Styela clava: one gene and its partners. The protein of the gene in region 3 interacts with the protein of the main gene of each other region in a pairwise test. Links are inferred from orthologs where the notes say so. Each region holds a gene or a part of one and is shown on either strand. Other genes may lie near its edges. The genes, in order: splicing factor ESS-2 homolog, deoxyhypusine synthase-like and mitogen-activated protein kinase 1-like.

Region 1 (7,916 bases), on a different chromosome or scaffold from region 3:
ATACAAAAAGTGTAATAGGGAGTTTATAATTACAAACTAATTCCATGGTTACATAACAAAGATTAAGCAAAGAATATGATGGGAAAAAAATTCCAAAATCAAAATTTAAAATATGTTTCTATCAGTTATAAAAATTGAATATACCGTAGTATTATACAAAAGCTTATTTATAGAACAATGCAACTCACATTTTCAGACCCATCTGTTATTGCCAGCATCTTATTGTTCGTATCACCACCTTGTAACATGAGCATTTTCTTTGTATTTTCGGCATGTTTCAATTCTGCTTCATACAGCCATGAATATTTATTTCTTTGATCTTGTTCGGCCCTGATAAAAATATAAACCATTGCCATGGTGATTTTTGAATAATGCTACTCAGAGTTGTGAAAAATCATTAACAGTTTCTCAGCATCATCAACAGATAAACTTCTAAAATATAACCCAGCTCTGAATAGAGCTTAGAGTTATGCCATATGATTCATAATAAATTCTTCTTCTTCATTGATATAGTTGAGAATTTGAATGAAATTAGATGTGACACAGACACAATCTATATTAAACATTTACTATTATTGTAGACAAAACTCCAAGACATCTAAATGCCCAACTCTGGGCATAATTATACAGAGAAGGGAATTAGCCCTTACGATTATTACTTAGACCTTATATTATCAAAGCAAAGTAATACTAACTTTTCCATAATATTTTCGAAAGATTCATTATCTTCACTTGTATATTTGCCGAGAAATGAATTCAAACCATCTCTAACATCCGATTGTTTAACTTGATCCTCTTCATTCAGTAATACGTCTTTCTTATCATAACTATAATTACAAAGAGTTGAAATCATTATTTATTGTAATAACAACATTTTGGTGATTATCATATACTGTAATTTTGACAATCCAAGAGACTGGCATTACAATCCTGTACAGACACCAAGTGACCATAAAAATTATGGTAAGCCGGCCTAGTGGTTGGAACAGCGGTTCCCAACTTGGGGCCTATGGCCCCCTACACAGAGCAGTTGGAGGGGGGCCCCAATGCTAGTCGTAACCAAATTCACTTTTCACTTTATAAGAAAACTCCCTGTTCTATCTAGTATTACTGCTTGATATTGATTATTTCACAAGGTGTTTTAAATTTGTTGAGCATGAATTGTTTGAACATAACGGGATTTGAAATCTACCAATCAAATTAAACCTATAAATATCACTGGAATGATAAACAGGGGACCCATGAACATGACTGCTAAAAGCCTCCGAAAGGGGCCGCGAACCATAAAAGGTTGTGGTCAGAGAGACGAAACTATGCGGGCATTGCAGATGAAATACTCAGGTTCAAATCCCATGCCCACCACTACCTCACCCAGGATATATATAATAAATTGGGTAGGAAATGCTGAACTGGGAAGATTTCTCTCCTCCCAATCATAGTAGTTCCTTATCTAGCAGTGGTTGTTTTGTACAGAGCCTTGTTCAGGGTGTAAGGCATGAAAAATGCCACATAAAAATACAATGAGGTGAAAACTACCATAACGACATTTTTAAACTATTGTAAACATTTATCATAAATGCAAGAAAAAATGTAGAAATGTGATTGCTGAAGAACTTTAAATAAACACAGGAGAAAACCTTTTGAATGATATCCGTACTCGACTGTATGTATGATTGTTTATACATCCCATAAATAAATACATAGCAATGAAGATATTAAATTTGGAACAAGAGTCATATACAAGACCATGTCGGCCTACTGTACATATGTGTGGCGTGCCCGCCACTTATGATTGACAGCATATAGAGTAAATTAATAAAAACCTACCCAAGATTTTTTGAATTCAAATTAGAGCTTGGAGTCATTTTTTCATCAATTACAGGAGTGTCAAATGTGGCAGGTGGCAGTTTCGTTGAATCTGTAAAAGAGAGTATAACAAAAATGCATTCAAGTACATTGTTACAAGTACATTTACTTTTTTCATCTATTTCATGTTTATAAACGAAAATACATATTTTAGAATTGTAAATATGATCATGTGATCACATTAAAGTTCGTCGTATCATAAGATTTGAATCTGTCAATATATTTTCATACACCTTATTGGTTATGGACTCTTATATTGATATCGAGAAGGAAGAACATGTATATCTTATGGTGTGACCGACATCGTAGCAGTTCAGCTCGGTCTACCTAAATTATTACATCATGGATGGCGCTTGCAACTGAGATACGTGTACTAACAGCTAAGCCATAGCTCCGCCCGATCTTCGAAAGCGTAAAAATATTTATCTGAGATTCATAATTTACCAGTATTTGGAGTAAATGTTGGATTGTTTTGATTTTTCTTTCTTGAAAACTTGAGGGCAATTTGTCTCATTTTCTCAAAATCTTTTTTCTCTTCGGCCTCTAGATATTCCTTTTGATCTTTTAATTTCTCATGATCGGGAAAAAAGTCACGGGTGATGATTCTTTCAAGATTCTAAAAATATTGTTTTATTAATTACAGACCAATATTCAGATATGTAAAATGTGCAAATATTTCATCTTTTTAAAAGTTTTTTAAGAATAACTAGACTATATTAAAGTGATAATAAAATGTTTTTTACCTCTACCAACAGACCAATGGCTCGAATTTGGTGGCAATTTCACGTTTTTGTCAATTTCAGTACCTACTTACTCAACATATTGATAGAAACAAAAAATGGCAGCATGACTGCAAGCAGAAGTTATTCTAAACAGTCAAGTTCTATGACTGTATGAGGCATTAATTCAAATTAACTGACTAAAAATCAAGCTTGTAGCCTGGGTAAATATGTTATCGTAGGCCTACCTCTGTATATGTTTCCTCATCCAAAACTTGGGGTTGTTGACGTCTTTTCCCTGTCAGTTTATTATATGTTTCCAATGCCATTCTGCTGTTCTGTGGTATACCGTACAGCTTTACAGCAGCAGCACTAGCAACTCAGACAGTGATTTAGGAATGGCACACTTAACTTTAAAAATTCCACTTCTACAATCGTAGAACAGTAGAACGCCCACTCTAACTGCAGAACTGTTATCAACTGTAATTATGATCAAACAATGTACGACAATACGGCAAACTGTATGTACATACCGTACGTTCGCAATACGTCTTGTTTTCAGATTTTACGAAAGAAACATCAGCTGGTAATATCGAGCTTACTCATCCATCACGGAACTTTTATTATGACGTAATTTGTAAATAAACACACGTGCGTTTTGTGTTGGGGAGTTTGTTTTTTGCAAAGTTTGAGGGAATGACTGATGTACTTGGGATTGATATTGGCACCACATCTGTGAAGGTTGTCGTGGTTTCAGAAGATAATGGAGAACCAAAGGTTTGATCCGATAACGCTATATTTTGTGAAATAGCATGCGCTTATTCTATCGTCTGACTGAATCATATGATACTTGCACTGGTTTATTGCTTAGTCACAGTTGATTGTAAAATACAATGTAACCATTTAATGAAATCTAGGTAACCATTGAGAATTATCTCGCGAAAGTGCCACATTTATTGAAATTCATTGAATAAAATAATTCTTTACAGTTTAAAAATAGAATAAACCATGTAGCTGAAAATTCTTCCAATCAAAACAAATGGAAATCTTTTTGCAGATTTTTGGTTCAAAGAATCTGTGTCATAATGCAAATCTAACAAGTTCTGACAATGTATCACACTTTGAACAAAATCCAACCAAGATATTGACAGCATTAAAGGAATGTTTGAGATTGTTGAAAGAAGAAATAGGGACAAGAATAACTACAATAAATACAATTTGTTAGTTACTGTCAACAGTTGTTTGTTTTGTTTCTGATAATTCTTACTAAATACAGAAATAGAAACAATGGCAGTCAAGTCCAAGAAAGTTTTATTCTTTTCAATATCATGTATTTATATGTTTTATCAGGTCAATAAAGTTGCTTTTAAAAGTGAAATCTAGATTAGTAGTTACATATTACATGATAAAGAGTATAACTTATGGATAAGAGAAAGTTGAACTAAATATTATATCTTGCACTCATGTAACATGCTATAGATGAATGAAATTCACTCAGAGGTTGTTTATATATATATATATAACAAAAACAACTTCACAGTATATGTTATGAACTTTATATTGGAGCATGAGGTATGTTTGCGAGGGAGTCTGAAATTGAGTTGGATTATCTGTGGCTCATTTCTGATGGGTGGATTAGAGCTACAATATTTGAGCAACTATCAAAATTGAGCCACAGATGATCCTTGTTGATTGTAGCATACATCGCTGGCATGTGTTAAACCCTGATATAAAGCTCATATCATATGCTTCAAATTTTTCTTTCTCATATACACATGTTGGTATTTGCTTGGTGGAGCTTTATTTGGGGCAAAGTTATGACACCCTATTAAAATATATTAATGCTTTATCAAATTTGTTTTATATTGTAGCAATATGTGGCCAAATGCATGGCTGTGTGCTGTGGAACAGTGACGATCAGACCAGTGTTGAAAATGATGGAATATATTATCCTTGCTCTAATTTAATAACATGGCAAGATCAGAGGTGTGACTCGGAATTCATTTTATCACTACCTGTTCCAGAAAAATGTGTCCCTGTTTCTACAGGTAAATGTATGGCAAAAAAAGTTATTGATGTATGTGTGATTTATCTAAAAGATTGAATTTCTGATAATTCAGAAATGAACTTTCAACTACCGGTAATTAAAATTACAGAAAGTTTGGCCGACCTTTTTCAAATCATTTTTGAATTGCTGGTGAGATTTTTACACTCTGATTATCATACAATATCTGCAATTAAATCTTTTATTTGAATAGTAGGAAGTTGCAGGAAAACTATGTTTTTTTCCATTCAATTTTTAATCTAGGTCATTTACAGGACAACTAACTAGATTTCACAGATACATGGCTGGTACAGAACCATACTTAGGTGTCAATCACTCCAGAGTATATTCAAGTTTCAGCAATTCTTTGAATATGAACACCTAACAGTGAATACTCCATATGGTACTTGAATCATTGATTGGGATTGTTGTTTCAATCCATTTTATAATTTATATTTTCTTTCATTTGAGGATTTGGATGTGCAACAATGTTTTGGCTGCGAAAAAATTCTCCTGAGATTTTATCAAAATACAATTGTGCTGGAACAATAATGGATTATGTTATTGCAAGTTTGTGCAAACTCAGAAAACCAATAATGTCGACTCAAAATGCAATGAGTTGGGGTTATTACAACTTCATTGATAGGAAGTGGAATTTGAAAATGTGAATATTTTATCTCTTTCATTTGATTTCTTTTTATTTTGTTGAACAAGACTGATGTTACATCATTGTAACCAGAGTATGGAAACCTTTGTTTTATGATGATCGTAGAACTAACATGAATCTTAACCCAAAAGAGAAAATTAACAAAACACTGCTGCATCATTACCAATACTGCTTTAGTAGTAAGGTAGTAAGAATGGCAATGTTTAGTTATTTTTTCATATTTACCGTGTGTTTTTTAATCTGAGTGTTTGTTCCAATTATGACTATTACATACTCATTTTGGAGGAGCTTTTATAAATAATCAGCCAGTTTTGCTGAAAGAAATTACCATGATTTTTATTTATTCCTATAGGATATCTTTTTTTATTGTAATGCATTTTTGGCTATTACCTATTTTTATATTACCCGATTTTCCAGATTGAAGAAAAATGACTTTCCTGTAAATTTCTTACCAGACATTGTAAATCCAGGCAACATTGTTGGAAAGTCACAAATAGATTGGTGTGATATACCGGCTGGTATAGATATTACTGTTGGGCTTGGTGACATGCAGTGTTCTGTGCTTTCCTGTGATCCAGATTCCTCGACTGGTGGTAAATATTATTATTTGGGTGTATCTATAAATGTATACACAATTAATAATTGGTTATGTGTTAATGGTTATGTGCTTTTTCGGAAAACATAAATTTCTTATTTATTGAGGCTCGTACTCGAAAATGGTAGTGCTAGTAAACGACTGCCCCACGTACCTATCCTATGAACAGAGCTAATACTCAGAATATTTATGCTAAGAATATATTTTAGGTCAGTTTGTGTTAAGAGTGTAAAAACATCAAAATTCTAGTCAGCATTCAAATTATTTTATACCCTGATTAGTACGATATTTGTTTGTAGCTCTAACTGAACACTTAAACTATTACATTAATGAAGTTTCAAATTGTATTTGGATTTTTTATATTTTTACATTTTCCTAAACATATACAGTACCGTAGCTGTAAATATTTCTAAATTAATATTCATAATGTCACAAGAATTCAATCCATTCTTACCACGAACATCAATAGTGAATCTTCAGATGAAAAAAAATATTTCATTTAATGTGTTCAGTTTTCAACCTTGGCACAGCAGCTCAACTTTCTACAATACTGCCAATCCAATCGGGAATTGAACATTATAGTTTAAAATATTCTGCAACCGTACCTTCATCATCTATTTGTGTACCTTACTTTGGGGATTTTTGCTTGTGGACTTCGGCATCATTAAATGGTGGGGCAGTATTTGAAAAATTTGCAAGTATGATGCATAGGTGGACAGTACAATTTGTACCATCACTTACTATGAGTGATGTATATGAAAAACTTATTGACATTGATAGTGGTGAGTATATATGAATGAACTTTAATTGGACCTCCAAAAGTATGCGCACCAAGATGGCGCACAACCTGAACTCAGGTTGTGTACCAGGTTAGGGTTCAGGTTATGTGCCATCTTGGTGCGCATACTTGAGGAGTATCCTTCAATTTATAATGATTACTTATCAATTTTAATCGGTAAGTATGTTGATAGGTATTTGTCTGTTTGTCTGTCTGTCTGTTAGATGCACGTGATATCTCACGAAAGCGAGATTGAATCTGCTCCAGATTTTGCATGTTCATTCATCATATGTCGGACCAGAAGCCTATTGATTTTGGATGAATTATGTCGTATAATTAGCGAGTTATTAATTAATTAGTGATGTGACACAAGGTGTCACTATGGAGTAAGAGCGCTGTTTTGGGGATCCCCTAACTTTCGATGATAAGTCTTCGGTCTCTGTCGATATTCTGGTTAAAGTATCATAGATTTGACTAAATTACCTAGAGTTTGCAACAACAGCAACAGTAATCTGAAACTTTTTCACGCATTTTACTTCAAACAAAGTCGAGTAGAGACAGGCATGTAAGACACTGACATGTAAGAAACTGATATTTTCGATATGTATCCTGTTTAGCATTTTCTACCCAATATATCACACCCTGGATGAGTAATTGGTAATGGGGTTTGAATCAACGATCTGTGACTTGAGATGCTTTTATCGTTAAGTTCAACGTTCTTACCCATAGGTTTTGTCCAATTTTTGAAAATTACCAGTGATTCTCTAAATTGATTAATTTTTACTGCGATTTTAAACAATCCACTCTGAATCATTAATCCTAATATTTTTACAATATTTGTTCAACTAAGAATAATATTTTACCCAGAGCTGTAGAGTCGGAGCTTGTTTTTGTTAATTTTATTTTTATGCATGTGAAATTTGCTAGCAGCAATTTGTTCTCTGGAAAATTCCACCTGGTAGGATAGGATTTACATACCGTGTTTATTCCGAGAAAGAGGAAAGCCGATAATATGGCTCAATTATATGGCGAACAACGGTCGCTTATTTGGTTACCAGTTCATGTGGGGTATAAGATTAGTTAGCCAGTTATTTGTTTCAGATACATGAACTTGATAGTAGAGGAAGATGAACCGACCAGTGCTTACGTGAACCACTCTACACTGACAATGAAGTAAAAAACAAATTGTATATGTCAGTGTTCATATAGAAAAATTATTTTAAAGATGCAGAGCCTGCAACAAGTAT
Region 2 (7,961 bases), on a different chromosome or scaffold from region 3:
ATAAGCATACAAAAAGGATGATAAAATATAATGCAATGGTAATAAACAAATGCATCTTCAAGCATAAAAACAATCTTGTATATATCTTTGCGAGAAATAGCTATAATTTCCTTATTCCTTAGTACAGTGGCAAGAGTACATTCACCCTGCTTCGACATCATCATTATTCCAATATCAATAATATTGTATATTCAATGCATAGATCAGGATACATTCATGTTTTCAACCTGTTAATTCCCTTTTTCCGTAATTCTTTTCCAGACAATTTGAAATCTCCAAGGTAAGTAGGAGCCAGGCACTTGATGAAATCTTCTTCCACTCCTCCAGCCGTCACACAGATACAATCAACAAGATTATGTTGTACTAGGAATCTGATAGTATCACGGATACCTGGCAAAAAACATAGTAAATTATCATCATTTTCTGCCAAATTAGAAGACAGAATTGTAGAGAAGTACACTGTTCTTATATGGGCATCCCTATTCCCTATATTACATACTTGAATCAATCAATTACATGATAATGTGTTATAGAATTGAGCTCTAAATCGATCATATGTAAATCAAACTATGCTGTGCCACATTTTTCTTGAAGAAATGTAATGTTGAATATTATAAAGAATAATTACATAAACATGAATTTTTATTCATCATGTTCCTAAACTACAATTATGTACCACAGCAAATTTAAAGCAATAGACTTAACTCTATTGGTTTCGCAGGCAACAACTCAGGTTCAAATACCCACTTTCTCACTCCGAGTCCTATGAATTGAGTAGGCAAAGCTAAACCGGGAAGCTTACGGTTTTTCGAAAAACAGTAGCTCCCAACAATATATATTGTTAAAATTCATTGGATACTTGTACATGACCTTGTTCAGAGCGGAAGGTGAAAATGAGAGTTGAAAAAAAGAAAGAAAAAACATAAAATAAAATATCTTCGACCATGTTCATACAAAGTTCATAAACCTACCAGATGACATCATATTTGAAGTATACCCTAAGAAGATTGTGCAGTTTGATCTCTTTCTAACAATTGGATTTAAATTGACTTTCTGTAAGTCATCTTCAGACAATGGTTCATGTCTCTTTTCAATCTGAGAAATAATTTCATGATATTACACATTCACTTGAATGAATGATAATAATTCATTTATTGACACAATCACATATAGAAAAAAATGTTTTGAGTAATCGATAGAAGAGGTTTCCTAAAAATGCAAGCAATCTATTATCTTTCATATAAAATAGTTTTTGTCTATAATTTTGGGGTCTGGTATGATATAGTACTATGAGTAATTCTAGTGGCATATGTCATTCCTAACCTTTTGCATAAGTATAAGTATATTTTGTTTTTCTCGCAAAAAAATTATACACAAACAATGAACATCTAACAGTATGTCATCCACAGTTCTCGATTTCAGATGATCGACTCCTTTCTATTTTGGCGGGCCACATTACGTCACTGTGACATAATTATGGATGGGGTTATACCAAACTCGAGTGGTGATGCAAGCGCAACAGGTGGCAGGGTGGGTTATCATTAGAAATCTAAAAAAATGGGAAAAGAATGTTTTCTTTCCAACGTCTTACCATTTTATTAATTTGTTCCACAGCTTGACCAAAATGTTGAGCCTGAAATCCACAAGTCCTATAGGACTCCAGTAACTTATGATAATCAATCCCATCATTAAAATCATAACCAGAAACTATCCGGGAATCGTTTGACATGGCTTCGCTCTTTACAAAAACAGCGTCTACAGACTCCGAGGGAGCCGCCATACCGAACTGAGATGCAGGTAGACGATACTGACGATTGTTGTTACCGTAGGTACTGTAATACACCGCAGCGGTGCCTTCACGTACCGGTACCGTCAGACTGTACCGGTATGATTTCACAAAAGCCCTCTGCCTTCAGTCCTTGCTGTACAGTACAACACGTTAAAACTAGTAATGTCTCTCAAAACTTTATATTCTTCTCGTCAGGGCATGCTATGGATGGGGAAAATGGGACAAATCGATCTAAAAGAACCTCTTCGTGTTGTGCTCTTTTCCAGGTTACTCACGTGTTCATTCATATCCACAACCTTTGACCCAGGGTAATATAAGGTGCTTCCCCCAAAATGGCTGAAATGGCTGTAGCAAACTAGCAAAATGACAATGAATGAACATTTACACGAGCATTTCTTTGCTCATTTTCGCGATGAAGTCGAATCAGCAGGAAGGTAAAAGTGACGTAACAATTAGAATATATAGGCATATTTTTAGTCACTTTTTTCACTCAGACAAATTTTTAGGCTTGATTCATGATTGTGAACGTTAATTTATTTTCGTATTTTTCAGTACTATTTTTTAGTTTTTAGTTATTTTTACGAAATATATAGTTGTCAATCAAATAATTCAGCCCCTATATATGAACGGAAATGTCTTACTTTGGTTGATTTTATCGAAAACACTATCGAAGAATGGGGTTTATCGAGCTTAGCTGTAGGTACTTTTATTATGACGAGTGCCTGAACTTCTGGGGCTAAATGATGATTTTAAATATGTAAACCAATCTAAATGCACCAATTCGCAACAATACTCTTAAAATCAGCACTTTCAGACTTTTGCAATGGTAAAGTACCCGTATAACAATGATTTAAGGATATGTATTGTAGTACACCGATATCGTAATTACCGTGAAAAGTATCCTATTAAAACAAAAGACAAAGAATACGACATAATTCTATTTTTATGTCCTTCTCTCTCATACTTATTGAAAATCATGACAAAGGAATTGAGAACCGAGGTTAAATCGTATAATATTAAACCACGAAGGGTATATAGATGATCATAAATTGAGTAGCCTACTTCTTCGGTAAGCTTACCATTTTACTTATTTCTTCAACAGCGCGTCCAAAATTTTGAGCTTGAAATCCAGAAGTTCTATAAGATCCAAGCAAAGTAGGATAATCAATTCCATCATTAAAATCGTAACCCGAAACTTTTTTCGAAGCTTTTGGCATTCGTTCACTTTTCACAAAAACAGCTCCAACTGACTCCGAAGGTGCCGACATTTTGAATGATCTACTTCAGTGTATTGAATTACTAGATATCTGTGAAATATTTGCATCGTTGATAAAAAAAAAATAAACTGTGAACTTATCCTCATTACCAAGTTAACACCTGTATTGCAAGACTACCTGAATTTTGATAACTTATTGGCTTGCTAGTGGAGGGACTCGAAGGTGCACCGTTTTTGGAATGTCATGACAATTAACAAATCTTGTTTTTAGAACCCTTGCAAGTTTGACAAAGTTTTCTGAAATGACAACCCTGCTATTAGTGAGTTTAATCGTAAATATATACTACTAGGTTTAATACAAAAGTGGAATTGTTTAAAATTTTGAATCTCTTCTGAGGTGAGGTAAACGTCAATTTTGCTTGTCTTATTGTTTAAGAAGGTAAAATGATGAAGAGATTGTGGACCTGATAACGATGCAATCTGTCCTTCAAAACTTCTGTCATTTAGAATCTTTTTAATTTCTCGAGTGAGAAGTAAAATAGCTCTCATAATTTACTTTGTTTTCCGTTTATGCTTCCTGCCACTTGGATCATTTTGTCCTATAAGCGTTTCTATGATAAAATTTATTCTGATCAGAACACAATCTGATTGCTTTCCATCCAGCACAAAATTACAGCTCGATTTTGGGGAAATACACTTGTCGGTAAGCCAAGTAAGTATTCTAATGTATACTTTTAAAAATTCATAAATATAGACCATGAAAATTTCCATTGACAAATCTTCGTTGCCCCAGTCTCTAATAAAATAATTCGAGAAGGTCAGACTAATTTAGACCTCAATATTGGTCCTGTTGAATAATTTCTTTTTTCTTTCTCGAGTATCATCTTAAATCTCCCTATATGCGTGAAAGCGTAATTAATAATGCCTTAATATTTTAACAAAGTCAAGAAAATACTAATTTATATATATATACAAATTTATCTTCTTAGCAAAAACGAATCGAATAGTTATTATATTACTTACTATTTCGGATCTTCATTATCGTAGACTCGTTTTTTAATACAAAGATAAATTTATTATCAGTTATGTTTTATTTATGAACCATGCACTCCCACCTCTCGCTTCTATGCCTAAACTGTTATTATGATGTCGGATTTCTGATGCCAGAAGTTTTATAACAACTTGACTTGTTAAAGTGATCTCAAATTCAAAATGTTATTGCAGGATTAACATTTGAAAAAAAACAAAAAAACACACACATCATTTTCTGGAAGAGCAGTTCCCAATCGCCAGAATGCCGAAATTTTGTTATTTCTTAACATCGTGTACATACGACCGTCTGGTTACCGAAGGTTGCGCGGCTTACTCAAAAATCATCGCAAAAAAGCGTCTCTTGATTTTTGTCTTTAGTTGTTTGTTCGTAAGGTAGCCAACCGCCATTTATTTCTAAGAAAAGATTTTCATTGGAGTCTTAAAGTCTTTTATTTCTAACATCACCTTCACTGTACAATATTGATCGCTTGCCTCGACCGCCTTACAAGCGAATCCCATTCCTTTGTATTCTACCGTTAAGAACTCAAGTATATATTATACACCTAGTAACGAATTGGACAATTGCTAATTACAAAATTTACGCTGTTGTGAGTGGAGGTTCACCTCCGTGGCAAATTTAAATTAATCGCCAAATGGTCACATAATGCAAAGTTGCATACAGATATATAAGAACACGTAGGCTATAACTCCGATACACGTACCTGAAATATTGACAAGACACTGGACTTCAAAACTGAACACCAATAACGAACTAAAGCACCAGTTTGTTGTGCAAGGTCGGAAGATCGTTGGCATTCGGCGGTTGAAAAGGATACGGTATTGACAGCAACCGTTCATGATAGAGGCATCACTGCATATCCGCATTTACATTACATCACGGTTCGTAAGTCCAACGATGTATAACCCACTGGACTAGAATCTTATTTTCTGAACAAATAGCCCCATAAATAACGTTGTAAAATTGCAATGGTATTTTCAAATGAAAAGAAAAAAACGCCCGAATTACTGGTATATATGGCTGGTCTTAGCAATTTAGATGCTCTCGGTACGACTGACAATGCCTAATTCACATCACAGAACTACGTGAATCTCTGTTCAATTTTAACACTTATATAAAAGCACAACTTTTATTTCGGCGGTAAAATTGAATGCGCTTGACAACATTTGAGAAAACTCTCTCGGTTGATTGAATTAGACAAATATCGGTGTCTCGAAAATGTCTCGTCTCACTTTGCCCTGGGACAAGTTGGTTACGACATATTTGAGACACCCGGCAAATATCAGCCTAATAACCCAAACGACACATACAAACGCTCCACTTATGACAAATACCTATCGTAAGTTCAACAATATAACTACGAGAATTTGTAGAAATGTGAAGCCACGGTGACAGAAAAAGCATTATATGAAAGCATTAAATGACTTTCACGAACCGTTTACAGCTGAAGTGGCATTGAGGAATAGAGCGAAGTACATTCTCTCACCTACACCAGTTAGGGACTTATAAATTGGTACATGCCTTTCATTGAATTTTACAGATTTTTCAGCCCACGAGATGGCATACAGAAGGGTTTCTAAACTTCGTAGTGTTAAGTTTATATTTTTAGTCACCTTAGATGTTTGAAAAAATAATATACAAATAAATGGGGATTCATAGGACAGGTCGTATGCGACATTGTAGTCCGAAAAGTTGGTGGTCCCTTTTTATGGCACTACCAGCGAATATTAAGAGGTTAGGTTTGTAAATTTCAAATTCTTGGAAACTTAGATTTGTTTCATTGCCTCACTGGTTGGAATGGCATATATATTACACATGATTCGCCAATTTGTGGCTCATATTTAAGGACAATTTGACTAAAGTGAAATTGAATCTTCCTTGTATGCTTTGACTCATCATCTGATTGTGCATGACTAGGACATCACCTCTTCTTGACAAATCGTGATAATGCTGATCTGTTAACATTTTTGCCGCCAGAAACCTCAAAAGTATAAGGATTGCTGTTTTCATCATCTTTCGGTTGTTCTGTAATTTTCCTTTTCAAATCCATGTCCTTTTTGATTTTATCTCGAAGTTCAGAATCTTTAACAACTTGTTTTCTTTTTTCAATATTTCCAGCAGAACTTCGACCCTTTTTCTTGAATTTAGGCTCAAACTTTTTCTCTTCCTTCACGAAGCCCTGAATACATCAAAAGCAAAGATAACAAATGGTGGGATTCAGGGGTCTCGCACAGGTTACTGTTGAACCGTTCTTGGATTGTCATGATAATAAGCAACAATCATGAAACGCCAGAACTCAAATCCAATTTCAGACAAGTATTTCAATTTTGCCCGATCATACAATTGGAATTTATTTCTAATACAACTTCTTTTCGAATGTTTGGTAGAATATATATTAATGTTAGCCAATTTGTTTTAGCATTTTTTCCAAAGAAAATGGATTTTGTATTCAACATTTTTTCATGACCTAACAACCTTCTTCAAGACAGTACCACCATGCACCAACCATTATTAGAATAAGAAGTTTACATAGATTTGTCAAAAAACAAGGGAATTTGAGTCAGACTGATTAACCTTGTCAAACAGTGTTTTAGACTGTGATTGACATTTCTGATGAAGGTCTGAGACTGGTCATTGTGTATTACATAGGTTACCATATGCTTCCAGCCTTGAAAGATATGGGTACACTTGCAGCTCATGCCAGGTGTTCCTCAGACTTTGCCAAGGTGTGTGCTTCAATGCCTTTCAACTTTTATAAAAGTTTTTCCTTTTTTATTATTGATTGGATTATTGAGTGAAACTTGATTTAACTGGACTAGTTTCATATTTTTACTGCAAAAGGGCAATATAAAATATTTGGAGCTCCAGAAGTATGTGCACCAAGATGGCGCAGATTCTGAACATAGTATGTGTACCAGATTAGGGTTCAGGCTGTGTGCCATCTTGGTGCACATACTTTGGGAGCACCAAATATTAGAATTCAAGAATATTTCATTATTCAGACCAGCGGTTTTCAAACAGTGGGCCGCGCCCCACAAGGGGGAAGTAGACAATTTTTTGAGCGGACGTGAAGCAAATTGAAAATAAAAATATTTGTTAAATTCGATTTTGCCAGCCTTATTTTGTGCACATATTTTTAACGTGTTTTCTGAAAAAACATACTACTTTCGCCATACTGTTTGTTATTTGTAGCATATTGTTAGCTAGTTATTTTTGAGATTGGACGTGAGAGATTGGGCGTGGGACGGCTTAACCACTGATGTGGACATTGGTACCCCTCATCAGAAAATCAGCGCTTTTTATTTTCTTAACGGCCCCATGAATTTAAAACCACTTGTGCCGAGCAGTCACATCACATTAGTCCAACCTACCATTCGTTCCTCTTTATCTTTCCTTAATTGCTGTGCAGTAACTCTATCAACTGCACTAATTTGATGAGGATCAAGTGTGATCATATCTGGTTGTATTTTTTCCATCAATGCCTTGATTTCCCATTCTCTTCGTTGGGACTTACTTCTATATGGATTTGATTCCATACTGTCATAGTTAGGTTCCCCAGCACCTGTTATTAGTGTTCAAAACAAAATGAAGAAATGGATGGTCGGTAAGATGTTGGCCATTTAAAAATTGCTATTATCAGGAGGTGGAGGATGATCAGAAATTCTCGATTAATTGATATCGAACACAGGGTGGTGCTGTGGCCTAGTAAGGTTGCAGGCTTGAGTGGGTCCGCATGAGTCTTGCACGTACATATGTAGCAAATGTTAAGCAATAAATCATGTTTCTATAGTTGCCCTAATAAACAAATCTAATTTTCAGTATTTTGCATCTGCCAAGATTCATTTTGCTAAAAAGGTTAGGAATCATTGGCCCATTGGTTAGAGCACTGTGCTTAACTATGTTAT
Region 3 (8,082 bases):
AACCGATATTCTAGTTAATAAATTACTAGTTTTTGAAAGTATCGGAATCTTTCCGATTTGGCATTACCTACTCAATTTATTACACTCTAGGTGAAGTGGTGGGCATTGAATTTGAACCAGCAATTTTAACATAGTAAAGTCGTTCACTTTACCCACAAGGCCATCACACCCATGGTTATAGTTTAAATAGTTTGAAAAATGGGGCATATTTGACATAATTGATTATTATTTGAAAAAAACCTGAGGTGGATTTATTTAATTATGATATAATAATATAGTAGCATGATTTCATTCATATTTTTGCATTTTTAAAAATGTTGACCATCCACACTCTTATTTAGTACCTTATTAGTTAAGTGTACTACCACCAAGCCTATGTTGACATCCTGTCAAATAGGAAGGTGATCACACATCATGAATTCATATATTTTGCTTCACTATCATCGCTATAAAATACATGACTCACATCATGCTTTCATGAAACTGCAATAAATCAATATATACCACGTAATAATCACCTTCAAATCGCAAGTGGTGTTTAGCAACAAATTGCTCGGCTTCAAATCACGGTGAATCACATGAGCTGAATGAATGTATTTCAATCCTCTCAAGATTTGGTACAAGAAGTAACAAATGTGATCGTTGCTCAAATGCTGAGTTTTTAGCAGTTTGTAAAGATCGGTTTCCATCAAATCTTGCACTATGTGTCTAAATTGAGTTATAGATAATATGATGTATTATAAGGAGGTAAAAATTTAGAAGGGTCATTTCAAATTAAAGATTAAGAGCAACACTAAGAACAAAAATGATGAATTCTAAATGTCGAGTATATAAAAATTTGTGGTAAATAGTGTTTTTATAGCGTAAATTTAAAAACTTCAATTAGAGTTTTACACCAATTTATTGAAATCAACTAACAGATTAAAATATCTGATTTTCATTTTTTTGTGGGACATACAGTATTACAAATTTCGTTATCAACTTTATGATGAAAGAGATGTTGACTAAAAACTTTTTTTATTGAATTATGGATATTCACATTTAGCTTTGAATTTTTTGATGAACAAAATAGAAAAATTTGAAGATTCAAATTCTGGCTTTATATAACAGAAAAAATTTTGAAGTGCACATCACTCAACAGTCAATATCTTACTGAAAATCGGGATCCAGTGGCTACTTATTTTCTCGTGTTGAGGAATATGACCTAGCCCAATGTTAATAAGTACTGGAAAATGTATGTGAAATCGATGAAGTTTGAACTATAACTAAATAAATCTACTTACACATCTTTCATGTTTGCGATATTGGCAGACCGAATGATGTCTTTGATCGTAATAATATTTTCATGGTTGAAACTGAGCAATATCTTGATTTCTCTGTAAGTACGCTGGCAGTAAGTTTGATGCTCGAATGGACTAATTTTCTTGATAGCCACTTTTGTTCCTTTGAATGTGTCCATTGCAGACCTAAACCATAGTTCGAGTTTATAACAAGTGCAAATATTTTGGTCATGTGACAGTTGACGTATGTCACCTGAGCTCAAGAATATAATTTTTTTCGTGGAATAAATTTATTTAATAATTTATTCCCTCTACCAGTTCTTCATGCAATGACTTTTTATCGAATAAAGTTTTCAAATACCATAATTTCCAAGTCCAATTTATCAAGATTTTCAATTTCGTTTGATCTGAATTGTATGAATATGGCTATACTACCCAAAAATAAAACACATTTTTGAATAATCTGTAAGAAAAATATACAATATTCTTTTTGATTGCATTTTCCTCAAAATAAGTTACCATTAAGTAATATGCAACTATTTATAATACAGTTGAACACTCTCTTGAAAATGACAGTACACTTGTAAAAATTACATGTGAAACTTTTATGTTAGATTCAAAACAAGTACTCTGTCCATAAAAACAAAGAAACTTTATTTCAACATGACCAGCAGTTAGGGGTAGATCATGATAATATTGAATATTATCAAGCATGTGACGACAATCTTATCCAGTGTATTCTTAGGCAAACAATTTCTTATTAGTTGAAAATGTCTAGTACATAATGTGTAAATATTTGACTTTCATAACTCTACCCTATGTTTGAAGAAACTGTATTATGACAAAGCTTTAGATCTATATTCATCTTCTTTTTATTACTTCATTATATTACAGAATACAAGTGCATTTGAGAATTGATTGTAGTATCAATGAATTCAGAAAAATAGTTCCCATACAGGATTTAAAATGTTACATATTTATCATATTGACTATGGACAACAACAATATCAGGTACTGAGCTGCTAAACATATGATGAAAATGCTGAGGAAAAAATAATTCTCGGAATACTGATAAATCTTATTCAGGGTTAATCTTGCTCATAATCATGATCGATATTTTATACCCTTCTGAATTAGTAATATTAATAAAACTTTGATATGCACACTATATCCAACTAACGGATATTTTGAGATAACAATTCGAGATGACAAACTTATTATGAATTTCAAGTTTATTTTGAATTGAAGTTGAAATTTCAAGTACATCACCCTATGAATATCCAATACCGGGAAATAATTTAGTTTAAAATTTGCCCTATTGCAAATTTGCAATGTTATTGCGAGTCAATTATAGTATATGTATTGATCAATTAGGAATAATTAATATTAAAAAGTATCGCACACAAGTATCCTACATTTGAAATATGAAAATTATATCTATCAGAAGAACATTATTACAAAATCCAACTTTACATTAACAGTAAATAAAAAACTCTAATGCTGACCTATTTGCCAGTGTAGCAATTCTGTATTGAAAATAAGATACTTACACAACCATTCCATAGGCTCCTTCTCCAATATATGACAAGTTTAAATATCTTGGTCCAACATCAAAAACTTGTCCCCTCACCACCTCAGCACAAGCCTTACGTTCCATGCTTTAAATTTACCTCAAACGATATAAACTATAATAGTGTGAATGTGAACTATAAATCAAGAAAGAAAGAGTTTTTGTTATATTTAATTTTTCTAATCAGAACCAAATTTTAATAAAATAAAAATAATATAACATGAAGTAATCTATGCAGAATAAATTTGACTAATCATTCAAACATAACTAATGAATTCTGAAGAGTTGACATCCTACTAAGAAGTCTGGGGTATATTGTTGACTAGCGTAGAACCCTTGCACCTTGAGCTCAATTCCTGAAAAAACTTAATCTAAGGTATTGGAAAATATTACTAAAGAAGGTGATCAGAAATATTGGCAAGAGTACCATAAACTCAGCCAAACAGGAAGTCGGTTACAATTTACATTCAGTCAAAAAAGTATTAATCATGATTCATGATACAGTTGTTCACTACACATTCACCAACAGCTGATAACCCTAAAAATCATCACTATTCAAAAATGTTCATGATAAAATAGCATAGCAGTATTAATATGAATCAAACAAACTGCTACAGTTTACTTCTATTCCATTACAACTAATACTGAATATCATGCGAATTCTCGATTTTAGAATTGATTCAGATCGATTTGTATTTGAAAAGTCATCATTTAGAACAGTTCAAGTCTCACTGTATCTCAGCTTTTTTTTACTTTCAAACTCAAACCAATTATTGAATATACATCGACAACAGTGAACTTCAACCACTGAAAATTTCAAAGCGATAGGTCTAGTAATTAAAAAGAAAAATATTTCTAACAACAGCTTTATACCAAAATGCCGAATTTAAAATATATTTGGTATTCCACATTTGGGTATATTGTATTAAAATGTTCTTGGAATACAGTAGTAAATTATTGCATTTTGGCCATTTCTGGGTATTACCTATACCTTCCATTCTTAATGCTAAACCTAAGCAATGCCTCATATATTATATATAGATATCTCAAAGGCGATTGCAGAATTAAAAGAAACAATAACTACCATTTGCTATACATAGACACAATAATATTATTATATTATGATGATCAAAGATTTTGCATTATTAATGATGATCATAAAATGAAAAAAAAAGTATTCCATGCCAGATTTTAGAGTGCAGTAACCGCCAAATAGCTCGCTTGACAAAATTCTGCACAAGCAAATTTCCCATTTACATTATATTTTTGTCTATATATTCTTTTGAGTGGCTATTTTTCAGTAATTAAAATTTGCTCACCCTTTAGCTTTAAATTTTGTACAATTTATCATATATAGCAGGGGTGGCCAACCTGCTTTCGACCGCGGTCGACTAAAATCTTCAAAATAGCTCGCGATCGACTGATCAGTAACATGGGTATATATATATAACTAATGGGTACTGAATATACAAATGACTGCACTGCACACACGCATACGAAAAATTCCAACGCCCCAATAAGGTCGGCTCTGTAGGCGCATTTTCAATAAAAATCGTTCCATGTTATTTGTTAATGTAATTGTACCAGGAGTAAATTTTCATCGCTTATTTGAGATTTATTGAGTAATACGATTCAGATCTACAGCATGCCTAATTTTCAGTCTTAAATGTTCCTCAAGAAATCTTGCCAAGTATCCATATTATTTAAACAGCGAAAAATAAATATTCTCAAACCATATATGTTACACAACTGCTTAAACTTCCGTTCTAATTTACAATTGCCCTCTAGTTTACAGTCTTCGCTAACTTGGAATTATAAAAAATTTGGCATTCTAATGCCACTGCTGTCGTTGTGAATACAATTTATCACACTACTCTTGGAGTGAGACAATAACTTTCGCATACTGCAGAAGTTATTGTAAGATCGTTTCTCAGTCAAGACATACGACATTCGGCACGTTCATTTCTAAACCTTGGCAGCGATTAAACTTTCATTTGTTACGAAATAATAAGCGCTATCAGGTTTGCCCAGACTCAAATACTGTATATCATATTTTGCGCATGTACAGTACTATATTCTTCCTTCGTAAAACTGGTTCAAGGCAAAATTTTAGGGTATGTTATTAAATTCACTCAACATCAGACATCAATTAGAACATAAAAGACATCAATTATAACAGTGAATGCAGACTCTTCCTTTACGAAACAGTCTTATAAACTAAGATGAAGCGCAATCTAAAAACGTTACCATGGGTTTACTTTGAAAAAAATAATCCCATTTACCGAAGAGAAAAATTTACCCTAGCATTCATTTTAGCAAAAAACCATCGGCAGGGGAGAATTTCGGTCATGTGATGGCTGACACATGTTAAATCATTATTGAGACAAGCATGGCGCAATCTGCAGAACTGCCTTTGTGCCAGCACTCTCGTTTCAGACACAAATAGAGTGTTTGTTTTATTGAACCAAATGTCGGGACATCTTGGAATCGGAGAACTGTGCCCAACTGACATTCGCATTGGGAGTTGATGATGGAAGAAGCCGTAAACAACCAGCAGCTATTAATACGCGAACCACCCTCCGGTGACAAGGAGTTCAGCCATTCTCTTGCACATAGTTAACCCCCACAGGATTCTGCGAACCCGCGCAGGGTAATCAGGGGCCACATCGCCGAGAATAAATCACAACTGTGGTCTGTTTTAAACAAATATATGTGAATAAATCTCTGTGTCTCCTTTACAATGCAAAGCAACTGGATATCAGTCATCAGTCACTCAAACCTGAAACCCAAGTGCAGTTTCAAGTATTTTGTGGCGTCTAAAGCTGCCGCAAAACCATGGCAAGATTTCCAAACCATGGCCGCTATAGCCAAACCTATGGCAACTGACTTTTTAGCTGCCACAAACCAATGGCGAGCTGCCGTTACCGCGACAGCAAATTGAAAACCAAAGGCGGGTAAAATTTTTCTGCCATAAACAGGGCATGTCGGCTGTAATGGTAGGGCTGCCCCTAATGGTAATAAATATTGGGTAGGTCTGTAGGTTGGAACATTTTTTTTATAAATACAATTTGGATAGATTTGAGGTTAGATTTGAGGTTTAAATAGATATAATTCCGCATGATAAACTAAAATCTGGTACACGACTTTGTGAATATACCGGTATTACTGAATAGCGCCATGGCAAGAGACGCCACGATTCGTTCGTGGCGGGAGCTGCCATGAAGTGGTAAGAACGGCGACTCCTGAAACCAGTAAACCTTATAATTAATAGATTAATGCCATCGAGTAGTTCAGTCTGTCAGTAGTTGGAAAGGCTAAGGCTGTGCGGGACGAAACAGCTTGTGTCGAAAAGTCTGTAAACCAAGCAGAAATGATCATGACAATACAATCATTGTATAAGAAAATAACTAAATAAAGCAATAATTAATAATGCAGTACTGTAATACAGTAATAAGGGAACACAGCAGGATAGGCTGACAGTGATAGATACTTTATTTCTTTATAAACAGGGTGAGAATAGCGGGATCAAGAAAGCAGATTGGCCAGAACTTACCATAGACTACTTGTACAACGTAGGTAACAGTACGGCACAGGACGAAACGTATCTGTACCGGTATATTTTAGACGCCTGGTCATATCAGCATATTGCTGTATTGTGCAGGGGGGTGTCAGTCTGCACTGCTGTACCGGTAGTGGAGCAGCGGCAGAGCGGAGAGAAACTGGTACGATTTCAGCATTTGCAATTTGCGTTCCTCAGCATTAGGAACATTATGTAGGCTACCGGCACATAACTTTTGTAACATTTCGCTGATTCATATTCCAAATGAACACAAAAGAAAGCCTTATAAACCAACAACACGGCGGGCGACTCAGCAGTCAACAGCCAAAATAACCTTCCGATGGATTCCGCGTGGTGGCGCCCTAATAGAATGATCATAGTTGGGTATATAGCAATGAAAAATGGTAAAATCCTGATACACAAAAGAAAGTGGCATTTATTTATATAATAGTCGATCAAGTGACTTTTTGCTATTTAATTACATATTATTGTTTTTCTTTCCTTAAATACATAAGATGTGATATGTTGCTGTTTTCTTATAACATTATTAGACTACAATTGCAAACATTGTGAGAAATTACCTTTTATAACTGTATTGCTGAATTAAAAATTGTTATTTCAATATTATTCTATTTGCTATATGATTGCCCTTATATGGTATATACCTAAAAGGTGAGATTTTTATTTGCTAAATGATTGCCCCTGTATGGTATATACATATAATGTCAGATTTTCTCAGTTTTCTAATAACATAATTAGATTGCGAATGCAAACATTGTGATACTTTTTATGACTGTATTACTGATATTGTTTATTTCAATATAATTCTATTTAGAAAAAAAAAAAAAAAAAAAAGAAAGCGAAAAAAGTTATCCAATATACCGGGGCAAATTAGCTTTACATAATGAAAAGGATATTGGTGTGAAGTTGATTTGATGGCTAAGGTATAGAGAGAGTGATCCCATTTCGGGTGCTTTTTGCATGGTGTGATGAATTCTTCTGTGTCCCAAGCAAAATGTCCTCCCAGATAAGGGGTAACCAACCCGCGGCTCACGAGCCGCATATGGCTCTTGCTCCGGTTTCATGCGGCCCGTTTCGCCTTGGTTATTTTAAGGAAAAAATAACTTGCAAACTACGATCCATCATGTTCCGATTAAACACATTATGATTCATCTCGTATTCTTCTTTTACAGATGGATTCATTTGTATGTATGTCTTCATATTAACATTTGCCTTGGTTAACGAATCAATAATTGGACACGTATAGTGGACATATCGATCGTTTTGTTGATATGTTGTTCTTTGACACTTTTTGGACACCTAGTGGAAATATTAAAAAAATGCTTTTCTCTTTGATCATCGGACCAATTGCTTTGAAATTTTTAGTGGTTAAAGATGAAATTTTTCTCCAGAAGGCTATTACTTTTATTTATTTCAAATATTTCTGTTAGCTCTGTAAGGTTTGTTTTTGTTTGCTATGACGTCACTGAACGTTCTGCGGACGCATATGCAGGCACTCCTCCGTTGGCGTGACAGCGGATTGCAAGTTTTTCGAGGTTACCGGTGAATGGCGGTAATGCTAACGGTACGATAGACCGTACTTCACTGCTTGGCTTGGCGTGGATATATTTGTAGACTGTGGTCTAAAGGTACGGTAAACTGTACCGGTACCG

Evidence for each region.
Region 1: the proteins of mitogen-activated protein kinase 1-like (region 3) and splicing factor ESS-2 homolog interact in a two-hybrid assay, tested with the Caenorhabditis elegans proteins (3 studies listed by BioGRID). The link is inferred for Styela clava from reciprocal best matches to the Caenorhabditis elegans genes mpk-1 and ess-2.
Region 2: the proteins of mitogen-activated protein kinase 1-like (region 3) and deoxyhypusine synthase-like interact in a two-hybrid assay, tested with the Caenorhabditis elegans proteins (2 studies listed by BioGRID). The link is inferred for Styela clava from reciprocal best matches to the Caenorhabditis elegans genes mpk-1 and dhps-1.

The regions. Positions count from the first base shown.
Region 1 is NC_135253.1:8,327,273-8,335,188, forward strand, and holds the start of splicing factor ESS-2 homolog, read right to left. Parts: upstream 3,099-7,916; 5' UTR 2,915-3,098; coding exon 2,834-2,914; intron 2,483-2,833; coding exon 2,311-2,482; intron 1,919-2,310; coding exon 1,828-1,918; intron 828-1,827; coding exon 696-827; intron 331-695; coding exon 189-330; intron 1-188. Other genes in the region: sedoheptulokinase-like, read left to right, coding at 3,282-3,362, 3,643-3,805, 4,457-4,633, 5,101-5,293, 5,714-5,889, 6,404-6,673, 7,895-7,916. UniProt on the Caenorhabditis elegans protein: Regulates pre-mRNA splicing.
Region 2 is NC_135254.1:16,768,698-16,776,658, forward strand, and holds the start of deoxyhypusine synthase-like, read right to left. Parts: upstream 3,073-7,961; 5' UTR 3,058-3,072; coding exon 2,869-3,057; intron 2,097-2,868; exon of another isoform or gene 1,781-2,096; coding exon of another isoform or gene 1,592-1,780; intron 1,096-1,591; coding exon 972-1,095; intron 391-971; coding exon 228-390; intron 1-227. Other genes in the region: WD repeat-containing protein 46-like, read right to left, coding at 5,978-6,235, 7,428-7,618. UniProt on the Caenorhabditis elegans protein: Catalyzes the NAD-dependent oxidative cleavage of spermidine and the subsequent transfer of the butylamine moiety of spermidine to the epsilon-amino group of a critical lysine residue of the eIF-5A precursor protein to form the intermediate deoxyhypusine residue.
Region 3 is NC_135252.1:7,506,296-7,514,377, forward strand, and holds the start of mitogen-activated protein kinase 1-like, read right to left. Parts: upstream 3,005-8,082; 5' UTR 2,938-3,004; coding exon 2,831-2,937; intron 1,467-2,830; coding exon 1,284-1,466; intron 709-1,283; coding exon 519-708; intron 1-518. UniProt on the Caenorhabditis elegans protein: Functions in let-60 Ras signaling pathway; acts downstream of lin-45 raf kinase, but before the lin-1 gene product in controlling vulval cell differentiation. Plays a negative role in proximal germline proliferation in the mitotic zone.